Coturnix japonica: one gene and its partners. The protein of the gene in region 5 interacts with the protein of the main gene of each other region in a pairwise test. Links are inferred from orthologs where the notes say so. Each region holds a gene or a part of one and is shown on either strand. Other genes may lie near its edges. The genes, in order: ATG4A, SCYL3, RETREG3, OPRK1, GABARAPL1 and TAX1BP1.

Region 1 (4,205 bases), on a different chromosome or scaffold from region 5:
ACTGCAGATTTATTGTGACTGATTGCTGCTGAGCACTGACAGGTTATTTAAAGCCACATGCTCTATTTAGACCTTGTGAGATTTGTTAACATACATCAAATAGCAACACAAGGGCCACACTGGAAAGTCTTCTCACACAGCAAATCTGCAGCAGCTCTGCCATGTCTGCTTCTGCCTCTAATAATAGGGGCGGTATCCTCAGCTCTGGAGAGAAGCAGGATTCCCTGTCTGTTCTATTGCTCTGCTTAAGGCTGCTATGATTCCACCCAGTCAGACAAGCATAAATCATTAGGAACTTTTACCTCAAATAAAGTCTCATTAATAAATTAGGGTTTTGTGCTTTTCCAGAGTACTACACACACACACACAAAGGAATGTGGTCTCCAAATAGTTTAGATTTCACTCAGACCAGTACACACCTCTTCCTAAATGCCTGCAGATCAGCGCTTGCGCCAGCATCATCTGCCCACATCGCAGCATACATCCCCAGCCAGCATCAGACGAGGGGCCAGTGCCTCCTATGAGGAAAGTTCACCACAATTAATATGAGCTTTGAACTGGAGGCAGCACCACAGAGATAACGCCAGAGTGTAAGAGCCCAGTTAGGTCTGCTGGAAACTAACCAGCCTATGGATGCACTGCACTGAGCCAGACTTATTTCCACGCTGTTGGTCTAATCTCTATGCAGCACAAACAAGGTCTGTGCACTCCTTGTGGAGCTGACTTACCCTTCGACAACACTCACAACTACACACAGCTTGCTGTACAAGCACGAGCACCTGATTACGTGCAGCTGTAAGCGCACATCGATTTTAATAACTTTAATATGTTGAATGTGTGAGCCACTTTAACAATGCTCTAAACGTTCTAATAACATAAAAATCACTTTTCAGTCCATGAGGCCATCCCCGCTCCTGCTATTTAACGAGGCCACAGATCCGCAATATACTCACCAATAGGCGAGAACTTCCTTCTGTAGGTAAACCAGAGGCGAGCACTGACATCCAACAATAGCTTAGATTTGTCTGGAATGATTTCAAAAGGAAACAAATAAACTTTTCGAACTGGAAAATTCCAGTTTTTCCTATGCAACCCACACACAGCATCCGCAAAAGACTCCTGTTAGCTTCTACATATCAGATCTTTAGTGCTTAGATGCCTTTTTTAGCCATTGAAACCTAAGAGCTTTTGTAGACTTATAATTAAAGCTGAATTGTTAGGAATGAAATAATTACTAGGCAATGGTTCTAAGAGGCGTTTGGAATGATTCTGTCCAGCCTGAATGAAACACTATGGAGAGAATTACATCCACAGCAAAGAACTGGTAAAGCAAGTTAAGGTGCAGAACTCCTACGTGCTGAACAGCATAGAAGGATGCATCGCTCCCAAACCCCACACGCTGTCATTTCTTGACAATATTAATACCGACTGCCATTAATTCTTTCTCTTCTCTTTTTTTCTTTTAAAAACACGCACTTACAGACATCTCCCACAGGCTCTCACAGATTTATTAAGCTCTTACCTGCTGCTTTCTCCCTGAGTTCCACTCAGATCCAGTGGCCTTAAGGGGGGTTTAAGTGGCCTTAAGGGATGGCTCAGCCCATTGGGGCCGAGTACGGGACCCTGGGGAGTCCTGACACCACGGCTGCACTGATGGCCGCTACCTCTGCCAGGTAACACAGGGTTATGCCCTTGTGCCCTCCACAGGGAGCAGAACTCAGTGCTGATATGTTTGTATCACACAGAAGTGCTGAGGCTATCGGGCAATGCTGCTTCTCACCAGAACACAGCACACACCTCAGATTATTGCTTCTTACTGTGACAGTGACTTTGAAATCTCCCTTTATTTGACAGCCAGATACACGAGGGAATCGGGAGCCGCTGCTGCCGCACTCAGTGCGTGTTAGAGCCGAGTTATCGCGTTACAGATACCTTCGTTCAGGTGGTGCTGCCTTCCCAGGATCCACACCGGCTCATCGGTGTCGGGGAATTCCTCTAAGTATTCGGCCAGGATCGTGATCTGGTTTTCATACCTGGACAGAACTGAACGCAACACGGCAGCGCCCACTCACTCCCTCGGTATCTCGACATGGCTGCCGCGGCACGGCCCGGCGGAGGGAGGGGACGATCCGCCTACGTCATTTGCTAACGGTAATTAATACCGAGCCGAGAAGGAAGCCCGAGCGCTGCAGGGGGTTGTTTTGTTTCGGTTTTTGCTTTCTTTGATAATTAAAGCGAGGTTTGTGGGAATAGTGGCAATGCCCGTCGGTTGTGATCTCACAGATGGCAACCTGACCAAATGCCAATGTATGAAGCCAAAGCAAAGCCCACCCTGCGCTGCTCTTCATATAGGAACGGGTGACACCGCCGGCACCGAGTCAGATGGGCACGGCGCAGCCGTCACATCCCGCCCCGTCACACTCGTCCCGCACGGAGCCGAACGGCAGCTCCGGATCCGCCGATCCCTCACGGCCCGGCGCTTCCCGGTGCCCGTGCCCCGTCCCGGCCCTTAGGCCCCGAGCTGCGGCCCCGCGGTCCCGCCCCGATCGCTGAGGCGCGGCCCCGGCTCCGAGTCCGGCGGGTTTTTACGTGGCCGATCGGGCCGGGCCCGTCCCGCGCTGCCGGCGCCCGTCCCGCCGCTGCCCTCAGCCCCATCCCGCCGCTCACCTGACTCCATCCTCCCGCCGTCACCATCCTCCTCCTCGGCCCGACGCGGACGCCCGGCAGGGAGGCGGCGCGGGGCGCTCCGGGAGACGTAGTTCCGTCTCCGGGCGGCGGCGCGGCGAGTCCAGTCGGGCGGACTACAAATCCCGGCACCCCCCGCGGCCCACAGTCGGCCCACAGTCGGCCCACGGGCGCGATTGGTCGGCTGGAGGCGGCGTCCCGGGGCGCGGGGCGGGCAGTGGCCGTGTTGGCGGCCGAGATGGAGGGTTCCGTGTCCAACGTGGAGGTGTGCAACATGGCCTACGCCGGGCGCCTGGACGAGCTGCGCGCTCAGCTGCTGCGCGACCGGGCCCTGGCCACCGCCACAGACCAGGTCAGGAGGCCGAACCCGCCGCGGCGGGAGCGGGGCCCGTCAGGGCAACCAAACGGCCCGGGGCCCGCTGACCGGCGCTGTCTCCCCTCAGGATCGCCGCACCGCGCTGCACTGGGCCTGTTCGGCGGGACACACGGCGGTGGCGGATCTACTGCTGGGGCTCGGCGTGCCCGTCGGAGACAAGGACGACGTGAGTGGGGCGGCGGGAGCTCTCGGGGCCGCTCTCCCTCAGTAACGGGCCCGAGGTTGAAAGGATGGTTCTGTAGGGGCTGAGGAGAGCGACTGCCCGGGACTCGGTGCCTGGCCGGGCTGCCGCTGTGGGTCTTCGGGTCGTCTCTGCCCTGTGTGACCCTGTGCCAAGCCGTGAGGAGCGCTGAGGGTTTCCCGCCCCTGAGGTATAATGGCAGAGTAGGCCCCGTGTGCGCTGATCTCACACTCGCCATCAGATCCCTTCTGTCCTGCAGGGAAAGCTGAAATAATTGCATCCGTTATGAATGAATTATCCTAAAGTTTGCGCTTGTGACTTGTCTGTGCTGATAGTAGTGTTAAGCACTACAGCTGTAATGCTGTCTGCAATATGATTAGGGAGTGGGGTGACCTCATTGCAGCCTTTCAATACCTGAAGGGAACTTACTCCCAGGAGGGGAGTAAACTCTTGGAAAGGGCTGACAATAGCAGGACTAAGGGAAATGGTTTTAAGTTAAAAGAGGGAAGATTTAGGTTGGATGTTAGGGAAAGTTCTTCACTAGGAGAGTGTTTAGGTCCTGGAACAGGCTGCCCAGGGAGGTTGTGGATGCCCCGTCCTTGGAGGTGTTCAAGACCAGGTTGGACGGGCCCCTGGGCAACCTGATCTAGTAAAGGTGTATGTTTGGTGGCCCTGCCAGGCAGGGGGGTTGAAACTACATGATCCTTGAGGTCCTTTCCAACCCGGGTCATTCTGTGATTCTGTGAGCAGTCTGCTCTGCACTGGGGTTGTTTTCTCGGTTGACGTCTTTGCTTTAATAACTTCTGTGCTCGCCTCCACAGGCTGGTTGGACTCCCTTGCACATCGCTGCGTCAGCGGGCCGTGATGAGATCGTCAAGGCCCTCATTGACAAGGGGGCTCCCATCAATGCTGTCAATCAGAATGGCTGCACGCCCCTGCACTACGCGGCCTCCAAAAATAAGC
Region 2 (3,500 bases), on a different chromosome or scaffold from region 5:
CAGTCACCGTGCATTTCCTAGCACGTGTTATGCAATCCGTGGAAAGAGTTTTATAAACAGAAATAAATATGTTGTACAGATCCATTTGAAAATCATCGTACAGCTAAAACGTTACAAGGATCCATTTCTAAGGGCTTTCTTTCCAGGTTAAAAAAACAAAAAGCAACAAAAATAACAAGCCCAATAACCAGGTAACTCAGAGTAATTCTTATTTATTGTCAGCAGTTTTTCAGAGCAGAGATGAGTTTTGCTTGCACCACCGCTCAGCCTCCATCAGCGTGTCAGCACCAACGCCCCCATCCTGCTGTTCTCTCTCCAGTAGCAGTGGCACACTCCACAACTGGCCTATTGCTGGAGTGCAGGCCTCACCCGCTGCATGTTTTGGCACAGACTGGAAAGGAGCATCCATTGGAAGGGATGGGGCCCCCTGGGGTGTTGCTGGCTGCTGCAGCAAGTGCCTGCCTTCACAAAAGCAGTGCTGAGGTACTTATCCGTTATATTGTAGGAGCAGCAACTTCTCTTACAGATTCCAACACAGCATAAATCGCCGTTGTCTCTTTCAGTCCCGTTACCAGTTAGCATCATCTTCCCAGTTCAACTCTTCTTCTTCACCCCAGCCTGCAGCTTCAGCCTAGAATCATGTAAAATGAACAACGTTAAGGCACACACGCTGTGCTTCTGTTCTTAATGCAGCTATAGGAGCACAACAGTACCCAGGCCAACTTGTGATGGCACCCTCCTCCTTACCCCTTTGAGGCTTTATATACAGAAAGCCCCTTACAAAACCAAAACCAAAGCACTGGAATTTGCAGCTTTTCATCTTTGAGGACTTCTAACCGTAAAAGGAAACACTTTAAATACACTTTTGCTTTCCTCATAAATTTAAATCAAGCTTTGTTTCTATCAAAACCCCTTTTTATGAAGAACAGGATGCTATAAGATAGACTTCTTTCCCTTGCCTCCTAGGAAGCAACTGTTGTCCTTCTGTATTGTAGCACTCTGACTTTGATCTCACTCTCAGCTACTCCCAGAGCATTGTCTGCACTACTGTAAGTGGATCCCATAAAATTAGGTAGATATCACAGCAGTGCCACAACACTGTATTGTACAATGTGTGTGCCTTAGAATCCTCTCAAATGTGCATTTATTTAAACCCCGCTGTCTATAGACACTTACCTCAATAACATCAACTGCTGCAAATTTGGATGAAAACATCATGTTCTGGGAGGCACCTTCTCTGCTGGACACTGCACCAGAGTGACTGGGAACAACTGAGTGACTGGGAACAACTGCTTCTGTCCTTGCTTCAGGTATAATCAGGAGCGCTGAAGAAGGTTTAATGTCTGGTATCATGTCAGCAAACAAGTCCAGCTCAGGGTCTTGAGCTGGTTTCCTCTTCACTTTAATGGTGAATTCTTCTCCTAGGCCAGACTCCAATGAAGACTTCAATCTTTCCTCTAAGGTCTGTTTGGGCAGCACGGTTTTTCCTAGTTGTCCTTGGTCCCGTTTGTCGTTGTTCCAGCTGTTCTCAGGGGAGGACTTTGTTGAGGGAATCACTTTGAGGCTTTCCAATTCCTTGCTCTGTTGCTGGGTACCTGGTAGAGTTCTCTGCACTTGAGCTGCATCAGCTCGTGTCACAGTGAGGCAGTTTCCTGAGGTCAGCTCAGCATTAGGGCTGCTGGGCTCCAAGTCATCCCAAGGCTTCTCATCTACATCGTGTTCAACAAAATAAGGTCCCATGCTGCCCTGTGGCTTCTGGGGCTGAATTTGGATGTTCACAGTTTTCTCAGTGTCTGTCTCCTCTGGCTCGCTCCAGTCTGGCCACTCCTCTGCTGGCTTTTCAGAGGTAGTTAAAGAGCTCCTGCTGCTCCCAAGCACATTAATGCTCCTAGGAACTCCATTCAGGGGCAGCTGGGTGGCTTGCTCACCTGTGGAGGATAAGGGTGTTATATATCCAGTTCAGAAAGGCAAGACCAGGAAGAGAGGTATCAATGCTTTACCTGTCCTTAGAGCCAGCGGATTGTCTCGTTGCACAGAATGCTTCTTGACAACTGCATTTCCAGAGATAGGGAGCACACTGGAGTTGTTCTTCCAAGGCTGAGAGGTCTGGTGTCTCTGGTTGCTTACAGCACGAGTGGGGGAGTCTGCAGGGATGGAAGAGAGGCCAGTAAGTGTGTTGGCTGAAGCTGCCCATGGCATTGGAGATTTATTTACTGCAGAGATGAGCAATAGCAAAGACTGGCACTGCAGTGCAGAAACTGCACCTCTTGATTTGTACGTATCAATACTACTCTTCCTGCAGCTCTTGCCAGTGCAAAGTAACTGTAAATGGGTCAGTTCTTGCTGCTCTGTTCTTTCAAGATACACAAAGTAAACAGCATGATCTGAAATAGATGCTTCAACTGGATGCAGCCAGATGCATGGCAGCACCAATCTGCTGCTCTGCCTCGTATAAAAGCGCAGCAGTGACAGTCTCAATTCAAAGCATCATGCCACTGCACAAACTGCCCTGTGTGCTTGGGCATGAGTCAAGCAGGAACAAGAGGCTCTATCTCAAAGGCTGCGTTATGACAGCCTCACTTGTATGGTGCACCCAAAAATGAGAGGTGTGGTGGTAGGCAGTTAAAGGCTGGTTCCAGTTCATTGGTGGGAGCATAGTGTCACTGATACACTAGCACTGGATTCAGCTGTGTAAGCCCCTGCTGCCACCCCTTCAACATGGAATAGAAGGGCTTGGGCCACCGCTGCCTCCACCTGACTGTGTGTGATGCCAGGCAAGGCACTGCCTGCACAGCTCACAGCACTGTTAAGGACTGCAACTATAACAAGGACTCTCCCTGGAGAGCCCTCCATGGAGGGTACATCCTTAGACAAACATCTCATTAAGCATCATCTATTCAGCATCAACTACTCCTTACTGTACATTTCCACTCGCTGTTAAGGACAAAGGGTTGGTTCTCAGCTCCTGTCCCAACCCCCATCAACATTTAAATGATTTCAAATATATTCTGAAAAATACATCTGTTCTTAGCACGCAAGATGAAGGTTTTTATTTACTACAGTCTACTACAATCACATAAAAACAAACGCTGCAATGAGCCATCCACAGATTTTAATGAGTGGTAGTTATCAGTACACCCAGGCAGGACAAGAACAGTTACAATGAAAACAAATTGATGTCTATCATGCATTTCTCTTGGTACCTATTAAATCTAAAATAGAGCAAAATGCTGATTCTTCCCTCCAGCTACAGGTTATTCTTAGTTCTACATGCAGAAAAGTTTGCCCTTGGTACACTTGGTTCCAAGTTATTAGCAGGTGTAGGGACTACTTCATTCGTTTGGATTAGGTGAAAAGCCTCCAGAGAGCTGAGAAAATGGGGAAGTCTGTATTTCTTTTCCAATCTACAAACAGAAATTGGGGGGAAGAGGATGAAATTTACTGCTTTTAAAAACATGAAGGACAGAGGAAATATTAAACAGCTACTTGGATCTAAGTAC
Region 3 (3,996 bases), on a different chromosome or scaffold from region 5:
GCTGAATGACTCAGAATTCTGCCAAGTGCATCCTGAGCCTGAGAAAGGCCACAGTAAAGCCTCGGTAACTGCTCTGTGTTCATGTATAGGAGCACCAGGGCCTGTTACCTGTGAGAAGCCGCTTGCCCAGTTGTTCCCAGCTCCACCTCCATGCTCAGACAGATAGATGTTCTCTGGGTTGTAGAGGTTGGCATAAGGGGAGTTCAGGATGGAGTGGATGACTCGGGGCTCCAGGTCCAGCAGCACAGCTCGCGGGATGTAGTGCTCATCATCTGCCTGCAAGGAGCAGCAGTCGGGTCAGGCTGCAGCACAGCTCCTCGCAAGGGCCACGTCCTGCACTGTGCCATGTCCTGCACTGTGCCACCTCCCGGCCACCACGAGCACGATGCAGAGCGAGGGAGGAGCGACCCTGGAGCACCCGAGTGCGGGGCTGCGGCAGCGCGGCCGGCCCCGGTACGAGCGGTGTGAAAGAACCGGGAGCGGCGGTACCTGGTAGAAGAACATGTAACCGGTACCTGGTAGAAGAACACGTAACCGGTACCTGGTAGAAGAACACGTAACCGGTACCTGGTAGAAGAACACGTAACCGGTACCTGGTANCTGGTAGAAGAACACGTAACCGGTACCTGGTAGAAGAACACGTAACCGGTACCTGGTAGAAGAACACGTAACCGGTACCTGGTAGAAGAACACGTCCTTGCGGTCGGTGCCCTCGGTGGCGAACTCCTCCACGATGCCCTCGGGGCTGATGCCGTGCTCGGCACAGAGCTGCTTCCAGAACTCGAACCCAACTGCGGGGACGGCGGTCAATGAGCCCCCCCAAAATCCGCTCAATGAGCCCCCCCCATCCGGTCAATGACCGCCCCCCCCCTCCGGTCCCCGCCCCGTCCCGCCCATCATCCCGGCCCCGCCCGGCTGTGTGTGCCGCTCACTCTGGTTGCCGCACTGGCCGAGCTGTAAGGTGATGATCTCCCGCGGCATCCCGTCCCGTCCCGTTGTCCCGTCCCGTTGTCCCGTCCCGTCCCGTTCCGTTCCGTTCCGTTCCGTTCAGTCCCGCTCCGTGCGCTCCGCCGCCGTCTCCCGCTCGGCGCCAACCGCTCTGCGCATGCGCGCGCCGCACTTCCGCTCCCGCTTCCGCCGTCCCGTCGCGGCGCCCTGGAAACGCGCGTGCGCGGTCGCGGCCGGCGGGGACGACGCTTCGGCCAAGATGGCGGCGCCCGGAGCCGTCCCGCTTCCGGCGCTGGGGGCCGCCATGTCGGCGGAGACCGGATGTTGATGCCGGCGAGGAGCCATGGCGGCGGCGCGGCCCGGCGAGCGGCAGCGGCGGGTGCGGGAGCTGAGCGCGGCGCTGCGGGGCCGCCTGGGGCCGTACGAGCGGCTGCTGAGCGCCGTGCAGGCCGCGCTGCTGTGGGAGCGGCCGGGCCGCAGCGCGCTGTGCTGGGCGGCGGCTCACGGGCTGTTCTGGTGAGCGCCGGGACGTGGCTGCGGGGCCGCCGGTGGCTGCGGGGCTGCGGGGGCTGCGGGGCCTGCGCTGGTTGCGCTGGTCGCGCTGCGCCGCCTCGGTCCCGGCCGGCTCCTGGGCCTCCCGCCCGTCGGTTCGTGCCGGGCCGTCGCTGCGCTGCTCGGGGCGGTGCCGGCAGCTCCGGCCGTTACGGGCTGCGCGCGGGGCGCTCGGCCGCCTCTCGGGTCGGGGAGTGCGACCTCCCGGCGCGGAGCTTTGAGCGCCGGTCCCGCAGCTCCCGTGGCCGGGACGGCTCGTGGGTTGGGGTACGGGCCGGTAACATCCGGTTGTGCGGCAGCTCACGGCGGGAGCCTGGAAGCGCCGCAGCTGCCCGAGCTTCATCCCTCTGAGTGTATTGAGCACCTGGTCCTACAGCACAACATTGATCAGCGAAACCAGAACTGGGCGGTGGGACCAGGGCACAGGGTGACCTGCAGGCCGCGAATTCCAGCCCTGCTGCAAATGAGGAGTGTGCACAGCGCCGGGAGATAAGCTCCTCTCCAGGGCCGTGGGCAGCTGATAAGCAGCCGCTGCTTTTCTCTATCTGTAGCTGTTGGCACGTTTTGCAGCGGGTTCGTGATGTCCCCTTCGCATGTCACAGATCCTGCTGGTCACGTATTTGTTCGTTTCTTTGCCATAGGTTCTTTGCTCTGACTTCTCTTCGATTGGTGTGCCTGGTTGCATTTACTCTTATAGTAGTAGTTTGTCTAGATCAGTGGAAGAGCAAAATTTGGCCTGAAATTGGAGGTAAGTTGCAACGTTTAAGTTATTATCAGAAAATGAAGCATTATCTTCAGATCAGGAGGTGCAGAGTGTGCAGCATTTGGTGCTCAGCAGAATCCAAGACTAGAAGCACGCACAAGATCCTGACCCATACAAATAATAGGAGTTTCTCACACTTGTGGTGCTGGCGTTTGCCTCATAATGTTCTGAGTTCTCCCTTGTGTTTTATTTGGTAGAAACTTGCAGTCTCTTAATGCATAATGAGGAAGTCTCCTTGACTGTAGTGTTTGTTTGTAGAACGTCATAGGAGGCAACAAGGAGGCTCTCTTGCAATCTTGTACTGTAACATGTACATGTTTAAAACGTGTTATAGAGCGAGTCGTATGTTCTGTAACAGTTAATGTCTTTTTTCAGGTGTCTCCCAGCTAATTAAAACTTTACTTGAATCCCCAAAGCTGAGCTTTCTTATAGCAAATTCCTTGCAACTAACATAGTGTCTGTTCTTAATATTTTAGTGGCAAGACCTGACGAATTAGACAATGAGAGGTAGGAAACTAATTGAATTCTCTGCTATTTGGTACTTTGCCATGATACTGTGTAATAATTGTCTGCACGTGCTTGTAACGTTGGCTTCTTTAAGAGGGGAATGAAAGGAGAGAAGGAAACTGCTTAGTGGAGGGAGAATGGAGCCCTGAACTTTGTCATTCTGCTGTGACAGGTTTTTTACTTGCACAAACCATTACTCTTTGCCTTTACATTGGCATACAGTAATGCTTGCTTGAGCACTGTAAAATCTCTGCTGCTCTATTCCCTTCCACCCCTAAGTTAGAGGTGCTGTCTTAAAAACAGTTCCTTTTGTATGGGTCTCCAGTAGCAGGAAAACAACTTTTTGTACCAATAAATGCATCTTCTGAGCCCAGGTGTGGAATGTCTAAAGAGTCACGTCCCAGGGATTGTTAGTGCATAGTTATGGTCTGACTGCAGTATTAATAGTGGGTGTTCTCTTACTAATAACACCTTCCTATCTCTGGGCACACCCTTCTGCCTGCTTATGCTGCTGAGCCACACTGGATGCTCAACACCTGCTTAAATCACTTGAGCTGTTGCCACATGACTTCCTTGTTGGGTGGTTGTTGTTTGTATTTGTAAGAAGCCCAAATACAAAAGGAATTGCTATTCCTAAGTTTCATGTACTTGTGACTAGCAGTTAAGAAACACCAGTAGAACTTAATGAAGATAGTGCCTCTGAAGTAATCAGACACATTTAAGTAAGGCACAAGGCTTACTTAAAACCTTGTTTCTGAATTTTTACCTTTCCTGCAGCTGGGGATATGTCCACCCTCGGCTGCTTGGAGTGCCAGAACTGTGTCACCATTTGGCTGAAGGATGGGTGTCTTGGACCAACTTCTTAAGTAATCTCTTTGTTTTCAAGAGGGAAAGCCCTGGCAAGGTGAGAACTGGTAAACTTTAGTAAATTACTGACTGCTGGCATCCCTTTGTGATGGTTGAATGCTAGGAAGGCTTTGCTTTGTTAAGAGTTAGAACTTTACCTAGAAATCTTCAGAGAGCAAGATGATAAAGAAGTGAGTGATTCCATCACTTAACTTTGGAAACTCACTGTCTCCCATGTGTTCAGTTTTGCCTTCTAGTATGTGGAGTCTTTACATTCCTGGCTGTTCTGGGCCGGTATATCCCTGGACTCCTGCTCTCATACTTGCTCTGTAAGTAGAAGAACCCTGTGCCAAATCTTAAAATGAAGAGGGGTAGAGATA
Region 4 (4,170 bases), on a different chromosome or scaffold from region 5:
TTCAGAATCTTTAAATGTTCTATATTGAATACAATTAAATTTGTAATGTAATTACAATGTATTTAAGACTAAAGTAGGATCTGGTGGAGAGGGAGTCAAAGCTAGCTAGACCCTCACAAAAATAATCTTGGGAGGGTAATAGAAGAAGATAAAAAGGGAAATATATATGAATCAATATAATCCATCCATGTTGACTTTCAGGGTTCTGGATAAGTTTGAATTTTCTTCCGTTGTCCAGACTGGCAAGTCAGCACTGTACTGTTAAATGATCGATGGCTTAGAAAAATTCTGCATACTTAACATCTGTGTTAAGTATGAAGTCTCTCTTCTTGAAAGCTAAGTGCAAAAATAAATTAAATCTTTACTCTGAATGAAGGGTAAAATAGCTCGATGAGATATAAAAACTACAGCATCACAAAGATGGAGCAAACCGGTTACCCTGCAGTGACCATGGGAATCTTTATTTATTGAACTGACTTTTAAACGAGATTTCACTTTCATTTTTCAAACATATTCACCCAGTTTTAAGACATCTTTTATAAAGCCCATCATCAATAACTTCACTGGTTCCAGTTAACTCCTCCCATACCAAGCCTGACAGAGTTATTTCATCATTCTGCAATTGTTTGACATTTATCATGCTTACTTTGTAAACAAGATCACTTGCAATCCCCCCATTTTTCTTCCTGTGTTCAAGGTGATTTCATTTATTGACCAAATATTCCATTCACCCACCAAAAAAAGCAACACACAAAAAAAACAAATCAAAATCCAGAATATTTTGCAAGATTCATATAGAATATGAAGGAAGAGACTGAAAAGTTTCATGATTTCAATTTCTTTGGTCATTATAACCCTGCTGAGTGCCACTGTCCAGGAATTATTACAAATTACAAATTGAAAGAGGAAAAAGAGAGAGAGAGAATAGTGCAGGCACAAATATATAACAACACACCCATATCGGTGCATTTCACTATGTATTTCAACATGAAAAACTATTTGACATAGATATACAGTTTTCTCCTGTTTCCTGAAACAATAGGAAAAGTAGACCCCTCCCTGTCTCTGCTTTGTTTTCTTCAAGGCGATGCCAACAACTGGAGTTAAACACCACTAAGCAGAGAAACAACATCCCTTGGCTTACATTAAACAGATGTGATTCTTACTGTTTCTTTTTTTCCTACCTCATTAAGAGAACTTCTAGGCAACGAGGCAGCAAAATATCTGTGTTCACAGAGCTGGACACATAAGCCATGGCTCTCACAAGCAGAGAGAAAACAAAATCACAAAAAGAAGGTACCCTGCAGAAGTTTCTTTCTCCCATTTTCTCTCAGTCAAGAGCAGCCTTTCATCCCTAGAGGGCACCCGATCAACGCAGCTCAGGGGCACCAACCACCTTTCTCACAGGCTGCAGGATTCATCACCTTTATCCGGCTTCTCTCTTCTCTCTGCAACTGCACATCCAGGCAGATTCTGTGCCTGAAAATATCTGGGGTCATTCTGGGTACTCTTTTTGTTTTGTTCAACTCCTGATATATACAGATCCAGACAGCTTCCATAAACTCCCCCTGAGCTGTCAAATGTCAGGACAGCCATTTGCATCTCTTTCAAGCAAAGCCTCTTACCTTATGATGACAAACATCACCAGAGAGTTTCCCACCAAGCCAACAACGAAGACCACGGAGTAGACAGCGGTGATGATGATGGGAATGGAGGGGGAGATGCTGGTGTGGTTGTGCTGGGTGTCCTCAAAGTTCCCGGTGGCATTGCTATCATAGTCCACCCAGCCCAGGGTCCAGCTGCTGCTGGTGCTGGATGGCTGACAGGGCCCTGGCACACAGGTGGAGTCCAGCTCATCACGGAAAATCTGTACAGGGGCATCCATAGAGGCCACGGACCCCACAGACAGAAGAGAGACTGGAAGGAGAGTGCAGGCTGCAGGAGGAAGGATGCTGGAAAAGGGAAAGAGAGGGAATGAGACGGAATTGCTATCACAGCGACTGAATATTAAGAGCTGTAAAATTAGTACCTGTTATGGGGAACACTGCTGTGGCAAGAACTGTAGTTTACCAAGCAGGGATTTAAATAAACCACATTCAAAGTAAATGTAAGTTTTACATCTCAGTATGTAATGTGCTTCTCCACCACTGCACAAGGAAAGTTTTCCTCCACTTTCAGAAATTACACAGAGAAACAAATCAGATGGGAAGCAGCTCAGATCCACCCCCACGCTTTAACCCTCTCTCTCCCATCCTCCATCTTTTAAGTCAAACAGCATCCTAGTGACAGGGGCTCCTTGCTCCCTAAATTCCTCTGTAAACAAGGAGGAGAGAAATCTACCACCTCTCTGTATACCTGCTTTGGCATAAACCCTGCCTTATCTTTTTCCAGATCCCATGCCTGCTTCTAAACAAGAGACAAATTAATCACACAAAATACCTCTCAGTCCAGGAGAAGGAGCAGAGTCCTCAGACAGATCTTTGCAGGAAAAAAAAAGCATTCACTTGGCTCCTGGGAGTACCACAGATCTTCTAGGACTTTTGAACCCGAAGCATCTGAGCCCTCAGAGATGCATGCTAACGGCAGAGCTGACTCCTGGGCATGAGCTACGGCACAGTAGCAGCAGCTGCTGCTGTTCCAGCTCCTACCACTTTGCCTTTTCCCTCACAGGCTCTCTCTGCTTCCCTCTCCCCATCAGGGCTCCAGCAGCACGCTGCTCTGATGCATGCGTTCTCCTCTGCCTCTGTCCCTGCAGCTCAGCAGCTCACATGACTTCTGCCTCAGCGCTCAGAGGCAGACAAAATAAAAGAAATAAGTTCTGATGTGAGTGGCTCCTTGGCTTTGTACACTTCTCCAAACCAACTTTTCCTATTGCCCTCACACTCCCAGGCCTTGAGCAACAAACCCCTTTACCTTCCTGAATTCTACGTGCATTTACAGGCTGATAGATGCTGAATAAAACAGAATTTCCCAGTTTATATTTCTTGCCTGACCTGACAGGCTTCCTGCCTCAGCTTCACAACTGTGGATCCCAAATGCTTCTCACTGGGTGGCTGTGCCATTCTTCCTTTATGCCTATAATGTGGGGGAATGCCAGAAGCTGGATCCCACAGCACAGAGAGGCAGAAACATCCAGGAGCAGCCTAATTGCTGTATTTTGTTAATTCAAGCTGTCCCACACTATGAGAAGCCAAGTACATCCTGATGTGCTGCTGGGGTCTGATTACCCCAGACCCTTGCTGTGGTCAGGGATGGAGAGGAGGAGTATGCAGAAATCAAATTCCTCAGCCCTAATCCCTTAAACACTCTATCCTATGGAGCTGGAAACACACTAATCTGTGCTTGAAATCCCAAATCCCAACCAGAGTTCCTTCTAAATGGCAAATTGGAAAAGTGAGCCAGGTCTTTGAGTAAGTGGACTCTCCCTTGGAAGGAGCCCAGGAATGGGCCAGGCAGGCTGTTCCTTAGACAGGACAGCAGGTCTCTGCAGGCAGCTGCAGTGTGTCATGCCCCTCTGGATGTTCTAGGAAGCTCAGATGGTCAGGAAAGGAGTTGTGAATTTCTTTCATCCTTTTGAAACTTTACACTGGGTAAAGCCCATAGGCTGAGGTTTCTATTTTTAAAAACATTTTTTCTTTCTAAACCTATAATCAAGATGAAAAATAATTTCAGCCATAGAGCTGAAAGTCAAAAAGGTGTTTTAAAAGATATAGAATCCCCTTTCTCAGAGGTCAAGGCTCATGCAAGCATGGTGATGACCATGACCGTGCTCACTGGTTCCTTGAGAATGGCAGCATCTGCTCACTGCCATCTGCATGGAGCTGTCTGGAAGTTTTAGGTTGGATGTTAGGGGGAAGTTCTTTACTAGGAGAGTGGTGAGGTCCTGGAACAGGCTGCACAGGGATATTGTGGATGCCCCGTCCTTGGAGGTGTTCAAGGCCAGGTTGGACGAAGCCCTGGGCAACCTGATCTAGTAAACATGGCAAAGTTTGCACGGCTAAGTTTGGTGGCCCTGCCAGGCAGGGGGCTTGGACCTTCATGATCCTTGAGGTCCCTTCCAACCCAGGTCATTCTGTGATTATGTGATTCTGTGAAGACATCAGAAGTACAAGGCAATAAACACGTGACAGTAAATCCCCTGAGCCAAATACATTTTAAAGGTGGAAAACT
Region 5 (4,161 bases):
CTGTGTGCATGTGGAAAGAAAATGCAGCCACTGGTAGGTTTGTTTTTTTTCCTGGTATGTATTTTTGATCAAGTAGAGAGATATATTACATGATTCAATCTATGTGGCTTACTGTTCTTCAGAAACCATTTTGACCTTCCCTGAGACACTGTGAGACTAATTTCTAAGAATCATAGAATTGCTCAGGTTGGAAAAGACCCTGAAGATCATCACATCCAACCGCAGCCTAACCATAGTACCCTAACTCTAACAACCCTCTGCTAAATCATATCCCTGAGTACCACATCCAAACGGCTCTTAAACACATCCAGGGATGGCGATTCAACCACCTCCCTGGGAAGCCAAAATCAGCAGCTGTGTCAGCTGTGCAATAGTAAAGGCTGGACTGTTGTGCTTCGTGTTTCCTTCCTTCTTTGGAAGGAAAATGGTGTTGTCACATCAATGAAACAGTACACCAAAGGAAAAAGACATGATAAGCTTTGTGTATTAACTTGGCATGGCACTTTTTCCAACCAAACACTCCTCGTTCCAGATTCAAGTATCCACAAAGCATGTCACACAGTAGAGATGCTGGCTTGGATACCTGTATACTCTTCTCCATTTAGATGCCTCCAATGCAGCCAAAAGCCCTGAAAATTCTAGGTTTCTTCCTAAAACACAAACGTAGTTTGCTAGTTCAAGAACCTCAACTACTAGGCAACTGAGCTCTTTCACACTAAGTTTGTGTTAGGACATACATTTCCATACAAGATAAAATTGACAAGTGTTGTGAAGGAAAGGTAGTTGCACAACCTCACTACACAGCTTCAGACTGACCAGCAACAGTACTTTGCCTATTTTCTTACCCTGAAACGCTACATGGTAGCATCAAATAAACTGAAGTAGAAAAAAAGCCTTTAGTTTTTGCTTTCAATTTAGAAGATTGGTAAGCAGAACTGTCAGGTAGCAACAGTGACAGGACCAAGCTGACTCAAAAGGATGGCATGTAGCTTAGTCATTAGATAAAGGAAAAGAAGATAGGGGGTACCTTGATTTATGAGGACAAGGTGAGCTCTGAGGATTCTAAACCCCTAGAAAGGATTCAAATTAAATAATCAAGTTTGAGACAGATCTCCCTCTTGCAAAGAGGGAAAAATGGAGGTGTTTTCCTAGATAATCAACTGTAGTAAGTTTCCCTGATAACCCAGGCAAGGTATCTCTTCTAAAGGTTACTTTGCACAGAGAGACAAACTTACAAAGACAATCCAAAGGGCAGATATATTATCTTGATGTCTGTTGCTGCTGGGTGACTGTGGTAACAATGGACTGGGCCAGCATTATAATTTCAGCAAAATGCAGACATATCACAACAGTGAAGTGCCAGCAGCCAATGGGACATTGCTGTCAAGGATCCTACTGTCGTGAAGGGCAGTGACAGAAGTGATTAAATACGTCTGTTGCACTCTGTGCAGCTCTGACAACAAGCCTTCCCCAGCAATCCACACCAGGCCTCTCCAAGCAGTGTTTTCACTTCCCCTTAGCTGCAGCACAGCTCACTTAGTTTGATCCTGTTTTTGTCCATTACACTCTACTAAAGCCCCTCTGTCTTGGCATTTTTACTCCTTGCCAGACCAGGTCTGTTGCTGGGCTCTCCACATAGTTCTTCCAGTCACTTCTATCATGACCTGCTGCATTACCTGCCACTCTCCTGACCAGCTGAGCCTGCTGTGGCCGTCATCTCAAAAGACAGACCTGCATACACTGCATGCTCAATTACTCTCATCCTACAGGGAAAAGCTCAGGTGAAACAGTTCTTTTGCACACTGCACCTCTGGTCACCCCAATCTAGGACAGAACTCTCCAGTGTTACAAAACAAACAAAATAAACCCTAGTGTTACTATTTCTTTTTGCAATTATTGCCACAAATTATAAAGCCAGGAGTTTTCCACTGAGATTCCAGACAGTCCTAAGGACAAGAAAGGAAAGTTCAGCTCGAAAATGATCTTGTTTTCCAAATGATGCTTTTTGGGTGATTAAAGAGTAGGGAAGTAAGACTGGGAATTATTATTGAGCATCCATCTCTTTTTAACTCTCATGCAAAACACAAAGCTGAAAAGAACGGAGCTGGACTACACTGAAAAGCAAGCTCCAAAAAGAAAAAGGTATAAAATAAAAACAAAACATCTGATAACAGCGATTTAGGCCTTTTTTTTTTTCCTTACAGAGAACGCCTGTTTCACACATTCATTGTTCTCCTCCATTTTCCCAGAGCAAGTCGTAAGCTCCTTCCCCACCCTCCAGCCCCACACGCATAGGCTGCCATAATAAGATTAACAGCGTTCTTGCTGTCGAATTACTGCGGATGCCCGAAAAAGACCCCCACACCCACCCACGGACCTTGGCGTAGAACAACAAATACGGTGGCACTAAAGAGAAAGCAATCCGGAATTAATACCGACACGCCAAAGTCATCTTTCCCAATCCCGTTCCTTGCAAAAGAAGCAAAGCAGCAGACGGCAACGACAAGGACAGCAAAGAATGGCGACATTTGCACAGCCAGCCCGAGGGCAGCGCTCGTCCAGCACACTCACAGGGACTCTGTCGGGGTATTTCTTCCTGATTTTCTCCCCTTCTTTTTTCCTGTACTCGAACGGGTGGTCTTCCTTGTACTGGAACTTCATGATGCGACACAACCGAGCCGGCCACTACCGTCCCTCCGTCACCTATGACCGGGCACTCAGCAAACCCTACTACGCCCGCGCAGCGCACGCAAACCCAGCGCAGCGCAGCGCAGCCCCGCACTGTGCTGTTGCGGGACGTCACAGCGACATACCCTCCCCTTCCGGCACTGTCGGCATTGCAGCGGGGTGGGGGCACTGTCTCGTGTGTGTGTGTGTGGGGGGGGGATGTGCTGGGTCTTTGTGTTTACATTCGGTTACTGTGCTTTTCGGGTTACCTAATGGTAACAATTCTAAAAGAAAGATCAAAAAATCCACAAAAACACAGCCACCAAAATAATGTGCGTGACTCAGGGGTTACCCACGCACCACCGTCAGAGGTGTCCCCGTCCAATGAGTCTCTTCTGTACGTGGTTGTGATTGATATAGTGTGCGTGTAGTATTACGGACTGGAAAACGTGTTGTAAAGCTGTTCTGTTTTGACAAGAGACCCTCAGCAAAAGAAACGCAATAATGAAAGCTGAGACCTCCACATGAGGCCAAATTGTCTCCTTCTCTAGGTGTCAAGGATTTCCCCTCTATCCTTCTACAACCCAGTATATATTATTAAAAAGAAGTTAACACCCCGGTATATATCACTAAAAGACAGGTTGCCAAACTTATCTCTATCCAAGGATGAGCAGATGTCCAGAAATAATGGCCAAGTGCTGAGTGAGCAAATGTTACAATTTTAGTACCTATAAATTACTTACAATATGCGTTATCGAGCATGCATCAGTGAAGAAAGTTCATCTAGAGGACAAGTGAGGAAGACCACTGGATGAAGTAAAAGACTGTCAATTGGACTGCCATGATGCTAAAAGGACACTAGACAGTAGAAGAGACCATGGAATAGAAGACTGGAAATCTCATCCATCTCTACCTGTGTTAAGTGTGTGTAAGTTAGTTGTCTCAAGTATAATTGATGAGTATGTACTATCTGTGGAAATATAATGGATGGGGAATCATGTAATCTTGGAAGCACTTATGGTGGAAGACGAAAGATGGATGCTCCATTGCAATGCTCTGTAAGGGCATCGTGACAAAATAGTAAGTAATAAAAATAATATCAGGAGAACAGGATCAGGAAGAAGCCCTGGTCCTTTTCTAGAAATACTCATACACATCTTTTAGACTGCTCCAAGAAATTCGTACTTCAGACATTAATGGTTTCTTTATCCCTATATGCTTATACACATAAGTCTTGCCTGAAGGGAAGGAGTTATCCCAACACTGGGAAGGACCTACTGCAAATCCCCACAGCAGATTTAGGGTGCTAGTTTGTGCTCTCTGCCCTGGAGAGAGCTGTTTATCATATATTGCCCACCACCCACCTTTACACTCTATAGCCCACTGCTTCTTGAATTCAGAGGTAATGCTCTCTCCAAGCCGTGGTGACTGTGATCTCTCATCATGCATGAAGGAGAGATATGGAGGAAGTATATTCACTTAGAAGCAGATATG
Region 6 (4,029 bases), on a different chromosome or scaffold from region 5:
GGAATACAGCCGAAGCCATTGATCCCTAGAACAGAACAGTAGTACACATTAGAACTATCAATGCCACAATGTTCACGGGAAAAAATGTCTTTGTGAAGATGTAGTAAGGTACAAACTGTTCACTGTAAGCATTACTCACACACATATACACTGATAAGCACAGATGTAGTAGGACAGCTGGCTTCATTTACCTCACTGCACTATAACTATATAAAGACAGTATATTCATAACACGTAGTAACAAACAGAAAACAATTTTCACCCTTTTCCCCATCTTGCAACATTTCCTTCCTTCGTAGTGATGAGAATGAGATGGACTAGAAATTCAGCTGTGGAATTCCCCACTAAAAATAATTTACTCCCAAAATGCTGGTCTGAACCTGAAATCGATTCCCAGACTTTGTTCATCACACAAGTGCCTATTTCACATAAAGGGGAGGAAGAAAAGAAATAAGTAAAAGAAAGGGAAGATATGTTACAGCCGTGTTACCTTCCGTCAGCTCAAAGTGTTTCCCAAACAATTGCTAAAGCTGTATTGCCTGCAACTGTCGAAGTAGAATAAAAACCTCATACCTCAATAGCTTATGAAATTATCATCATACACAGTGAAATGAAGCATATCTGTACATTGGACATAGCGTTACATGCAGTCACTGAAAAAAACATTTTGTATTTTCTGCTGTGCTCAAAAAAAATCTAATCTGTATTTTTAGGAACCTAATTGCCTCCCTTACTTAGATTGATACACACAGAACCACAACATTCATTTCTCAGGATACACGTAAATAATACCAAAATGCTTGTGTAACCTGAACAGCACTCTCTTTAAACTTCTGACTTTTCTTCCATTCCTTCGCCCTGTTAACTAAACATCAAGCACGCTCAGTCACACTCCTGTTTGTCAAAACACATCAGGTCATCAAAATACATGGATGTATTTTTAACCAGTTCCTACCAGAGAAATCGCCCTGCTTGTAGCTAATGTCACCCTCTCACAATTCACTGACTGTAGTCACTGAATATATTATTAAAAATCCTCCTCTCAAATCATCTCCATTTAATTCTCTACCACATCATGGCTTCCCTTTACTCCAGCACATTTGTACTTATCACTCCAGCCTCATCTCCGTTAAAAGCTCAGACTCTGACGTCACACTGTGATGCTTCCTCTAACATTTATAAAAGTATTATTTTTCGATTTCTCTATTAGAAACTGGTTAAGAGAAGACAGTGAACAAGTGAAAAACACGAATAGATTAAGTTTTACTTACCTTGAAAATACCAACCCAGTCTTTCTGATGAGGATGGATAAACTGGGTCAGAGTGTAGTGACATTCAAGGTGTGTGTTCGGCAGATAACTTTTTGCCACATTCTGAAAAATCACGTGTGCAAAATTGGATGTCTGTAAAGCGTTAGCTGAAGATGGGACTTCTTGAAAGGATGACATGTTTGATCTGCAACAAAATTGGAGAAGCTGTTACTTCAATATCATGAAGAACTAAGTTAAAAATAACCTGTTCAAAAGATACCAGACAGAGAAACAATTCACTCCTCTGGTCTGACAACAGACCAGCTACAGACCGAGCCCATCAAAACGCAATGCTCCAAAACAATCACTTCTCAGAACAAAAAAAAAAGGCAGTCATCTCAGTGATGAAATGAAAACAGAGAGAAAGCACCACTTAACTGAATGCCCCTACTGCTATAACACAGATAAACTGAGTACCAGAAAGAAGGAAATAAAAGTGGTGGGAAAATGAGGCAGGGTTAGGGTTAGCTATGACTTAATTAAATGTCTTTAGTGACTCTGGATGCTTCAGGGAAATCCGTACTTCTGAATGCTTTTGACAGTATTTCCATAAATAAAATGTTGTTCCCCACTCAGTAAAACTAAGAAAGCTTCATTTTAAGACATTTTAACAAAGGAGAAAGTTTATCTAAACAGGCTTTTTTTTTTCCTTATTTTATTTCTCCTCTCTTCTGATGTCAGCAGACTGGAAGCACATTTGCTGTCCCCACTTTAAACACAGATACCCTTAGTCTTGCACTTTTACTAATAACAACTGAACTGATGGCGCAGACATTCAAGTCTGCATGCAGTTGGATGGATTAGCACTAATTCGGTTGGATTGCAAAAGCTTCCCGTCACCATTTCCCTTCACCACCTCATTCCAAATACACCGTGCTAAAAATTACAGCACCACAAAATGCTTCAAAAGCAAAACATAAGGGTCCATCTCTCTGAATTATTAACAAGTACAAAGCTGCAGTTTCTGCTAACCTAAAAGAAACAGAACAGCCTTACTATATGAAGCTAAGCAACACTGAAAGGAAACAAACCACGTCAATTTTCATCACCTTGGTAAGAAAAAAAAAAAAAAACACTGGAATATAATTTTTTTAAAATAGATTTCCTCAAAAAATTAGGAAGTTTATTCTAAGAATGTGCTAAAAGAAAAAAAAGCGACTTCTGCAGACTGCTCTGCTTTGCAGCCCAGATCCAGGCCTACACAGGCCGCCCCGACCAGCTGATCCCCGTACAGGCGGGGGGGGGCCTCCCGGTGGCGCAGCGCCGCCGCCCGCCGCCTCACATCCCTGCCCGCCCCAACGGGTGGCGAGGACCGGCGGGGAAGGGGCTGCCAACCCGCCCACCCCCCTCAGCTGCACCCCGCAGCGCCCCTTACCTATGCAGGCGCGGAGGACGCCGCGGACATCAACATGGGGCCTCCACCATCAGCGCCACGCAGCCCCGCCCGCCCGCGTCACTTCCAGCCCCGGCCCTGCCCGCTCGTTTGTGCTCGCGTCACACCAGTTTGCGTCTCACAAGCTGCGGATTTAAAGCTTCGGGCCTGTGCCTGTCTCTGAGCCACCAAGGAGTGAGATTAAAGCTCACAGTTCTCCTGCTTGCGTGAATTGGCAAAGTATGTTACCTCATAAATACACAGATTCTACTGGAGCTCTGTCCAGCGCCAAGCTGTAGCTCTTACAGAACAGCAGAGATGAGGAACAGAATTCAGTGATGAGTAACCACCATTGGTGTGTCGGACTTCTCCCAGTACACCCAACACGACCACTACCTCAAATAGTCTTTGAAATCACCTTTACCTCTTTACCGCCGCTGTTTCATCACTATTTCCATTCTCAACAGACAGGCACAATGACCACATTATTGATTTGAGTATCTGGCAAGATTGCCAGCTTTGTAATAGTCACCCCTAATGAAACTAAGCCGGAGCACAGAAACTCTTCAGTCATGAATGGTTGTCTGAAAACAACTTCACGTCTTCACGTGTAACCTGTAAAACAGGTTATTAAGTAATCTTTTTTATTTCTGGACATAACTAGTAATTCCTTAAGTTATTCATATGTTCCATTGGAAAGCAATACATTGTTTTAGAATCATGAAGTCATTAAGGTTGGGAAAAAGCACTTAGATCATCAATTCAACCACCAGCCCATCCCCACCATGTCCCTCAGGACAACAGCTACCCTTGAACACCACCAACACCACTGGGCAGCCTGCTTCACTCTTTCTGACAAAGTATTTTTCTTAACATCCGACCTGAATACCTCCTGGCACAACTTAAAGCCTCTACCTCTCATCACTAGTAACCTGGGAGAAGCCAATTCTCATCTTGCTACAACCTCCTTTCAGGTAGAAGACACAAGAAGTATGTGTACAAGGCTTTTTTTTCCTTAAGACCAAAGGAATTTGTGCAGTGGTAAACAAAATTGGTGCAATAACCAGCCATACATATTTCTGAGGAGGTGGGGAGAGCTATTCTGTCTTATCTATAACCTCCATTTCTTCTTCTCACTGCTCTTTGCACCACATGATGTGATAAAGGGTTGTCTAAGAGTCACAAGACACTGTTCTGCTATGGGCTCTGACTCTGAAAGAACTTCAGTTTCACAGCCAGTATCTGGGAAGTATAAACAGTGATGAGACGAGTAGTTTTGTTTTCACTGACTCTCATTATGTTGTTACTTTATGGAATGTACTGGGAGTTCTGAAATTAAGATGTTCT

What was found.
Region 1: the proteins of GABARAPL1 (region 5) and ATG4A interact in binary tests that used the Homo sapiens proteins (3 or more experiments, as listed by UniProt). The two-hybrid records come from large-scale screens. The link is inferred for Coturnix japonica from reciprocal best matches to the Homo sapiens genes GABARAPL1 and ATG4A.
Region 2: the proteins of GABARAPL1 (region 5) and SCYL3 interact in binary tests that used the Homo sapiens proteins (3 or more experiments, as listed by UniProt). The two-hybrid records come from large-scale screens. The link is inferred for Coturnix japonica from reciprocal best matches to the Homo sapiens genes GABARAPL1 and SCYL3.
Region 3: the proteins of GABARAPL1 (region 5) and RETREG3 interact in binary tests that used the Homo sapiens proteins (3 or more experiments, as listed by UniProt). The link is inferred for Coturnix japonica from reciprocal best matches to the Homo sapiens genes GABARAPL1 and RETREG3.
Region 4: the proteins of GABARAPL1 (region 5) and OPRK1 interact in binary tests that used the Homo sapiens proteins (3 or more experiments, as listed by UniProt). The link is inferred for Coturnix japonica from reciprocal best matches to the Homo sapiens genes GABARAPL1 and OPRK1.
Region 6: the proteins of GABARAPL1 (region 5) and TAX1BP1 interact in binary tests that used the Homo sapiens proteins (3 or more experiments, as listed by UniProt). The link is inferred for Coturnix japonica from reciprocal best matches to the Homo sapiens genes GABARAPL1 and TAX1BP1.

Annotation. Positions count from the first base shown.
Region 1 is NC_029519.1:13,238,702-13,242,906, forward strand, and holds the start of ATG4A (cysteine protease ATG4A), read right to left. Parts: upstream 2,801-4,205; 5' UTR 2,678-2,800; coding exon 2,668-2,677; intron 2,044-2,667; coding exon 1,933-2,043; intron 1,026-1,932; coding exon 954-1,025; intron 519-953; coding exon 420-518; intron 1-419. UniProt on the Homo sapiens protein: Cysteine protease that plays a key role in autophagy by mediating both proteolytic activation and delipidation of ATG8 family proteins.
Region 2 is NC_029523.1:6,556,586-6,560,085, forward strand, and holds part of SCYL3 (protein-associating with the carboxyl-terminal domain of ezrin), read right to left. Parts: intron 2,145-3,500; coding exon 2,001-2,144; intron 1,929-2,000; coding exon 1,177-1,928; intron 632-1,176; coding exon 569-631; 3' UTR 1-568. UniProt on the Homo sapiens protein: May play a role in regulating cell adhesion/migration complexes in migrating cells.
Region 3 is NC_029542.1:4,589,001-4,592,996, reverse strand, and holds the start of RETREG3 (reticulophagy regulator 3), read left to right. Parts: upstream 1-1,196; 5' UTR 1,197-1,291; coding exon 1,292-1,464; intron 1,465-2,141; coding exon 2,142-2,248; intron 2,249-2,739; coding exon 2,740-2,770; intron 2,771-3,547; coding exon 3,548-3,674; intron 3,675-3,860; coding exon 3,861-3,945; intron 3,946-3,996. Other genes in the region: TUBG1 (tubulin gamma-1 chain), read right to left, coding at 109-276, 679-791, 933-981. UniProt on the Homo sapiens protein: Endoplasmic reticulum (ER)-anchored autophagy regulator which exists in an inactive state under basal conditions but is activated following cellular stress.
Region 4 is NC_029517.1:99,618,599-99,622,768, forward strand, and holds the start of OPRK1 (kappa-type opioid receptor), read right to left. Parts: upstream 2,801-4,170; 5' UTR 2,440-2,800; intron 1,953-2,439; 5' UTR 1,886-1,952; coding exon 1,626-1,885; intron 1-1,625. UniProt on the Homo sapiens protein: G-protein coupled opioid receptor that functions as a receptor for endogenous alpha-neoendorphins and dynorphins, but has low affinity for beta-endorphins.
Region 5 is NC_029516.1:70,390,293-70,394,453, forward strand, and holds the start of GABARAPL1 (gamma-aminobutyric acid receptor-associated protein-like 1), read right to left. Parts: upstream 2,801-4,161; 5' UTR 2,662-2,800; coding exon 2,572-2,661; intron 1-2,571. UniProt on the Homo sapiens protein: Ubiquitin-like modifier that increases cell-surface expression of kappa-type opioid receptor through facilitating anterograde intracellular trafficking of the receptor. Involved in formation of autophagosomal vacuoles.
Region 6 is NC_029517.1:30,157,699-30,161,727, reverse strand, and holds the start of TAX1BP1 (tax1-binding protein 1), read right to left. Parts: upstream 2,801-4,029; 5' UTR 2,686-2,800; intron 1,456-2,685; 5' UTR 1,449-1,455; coding exon 1,272-1,448; intron 1-1,271.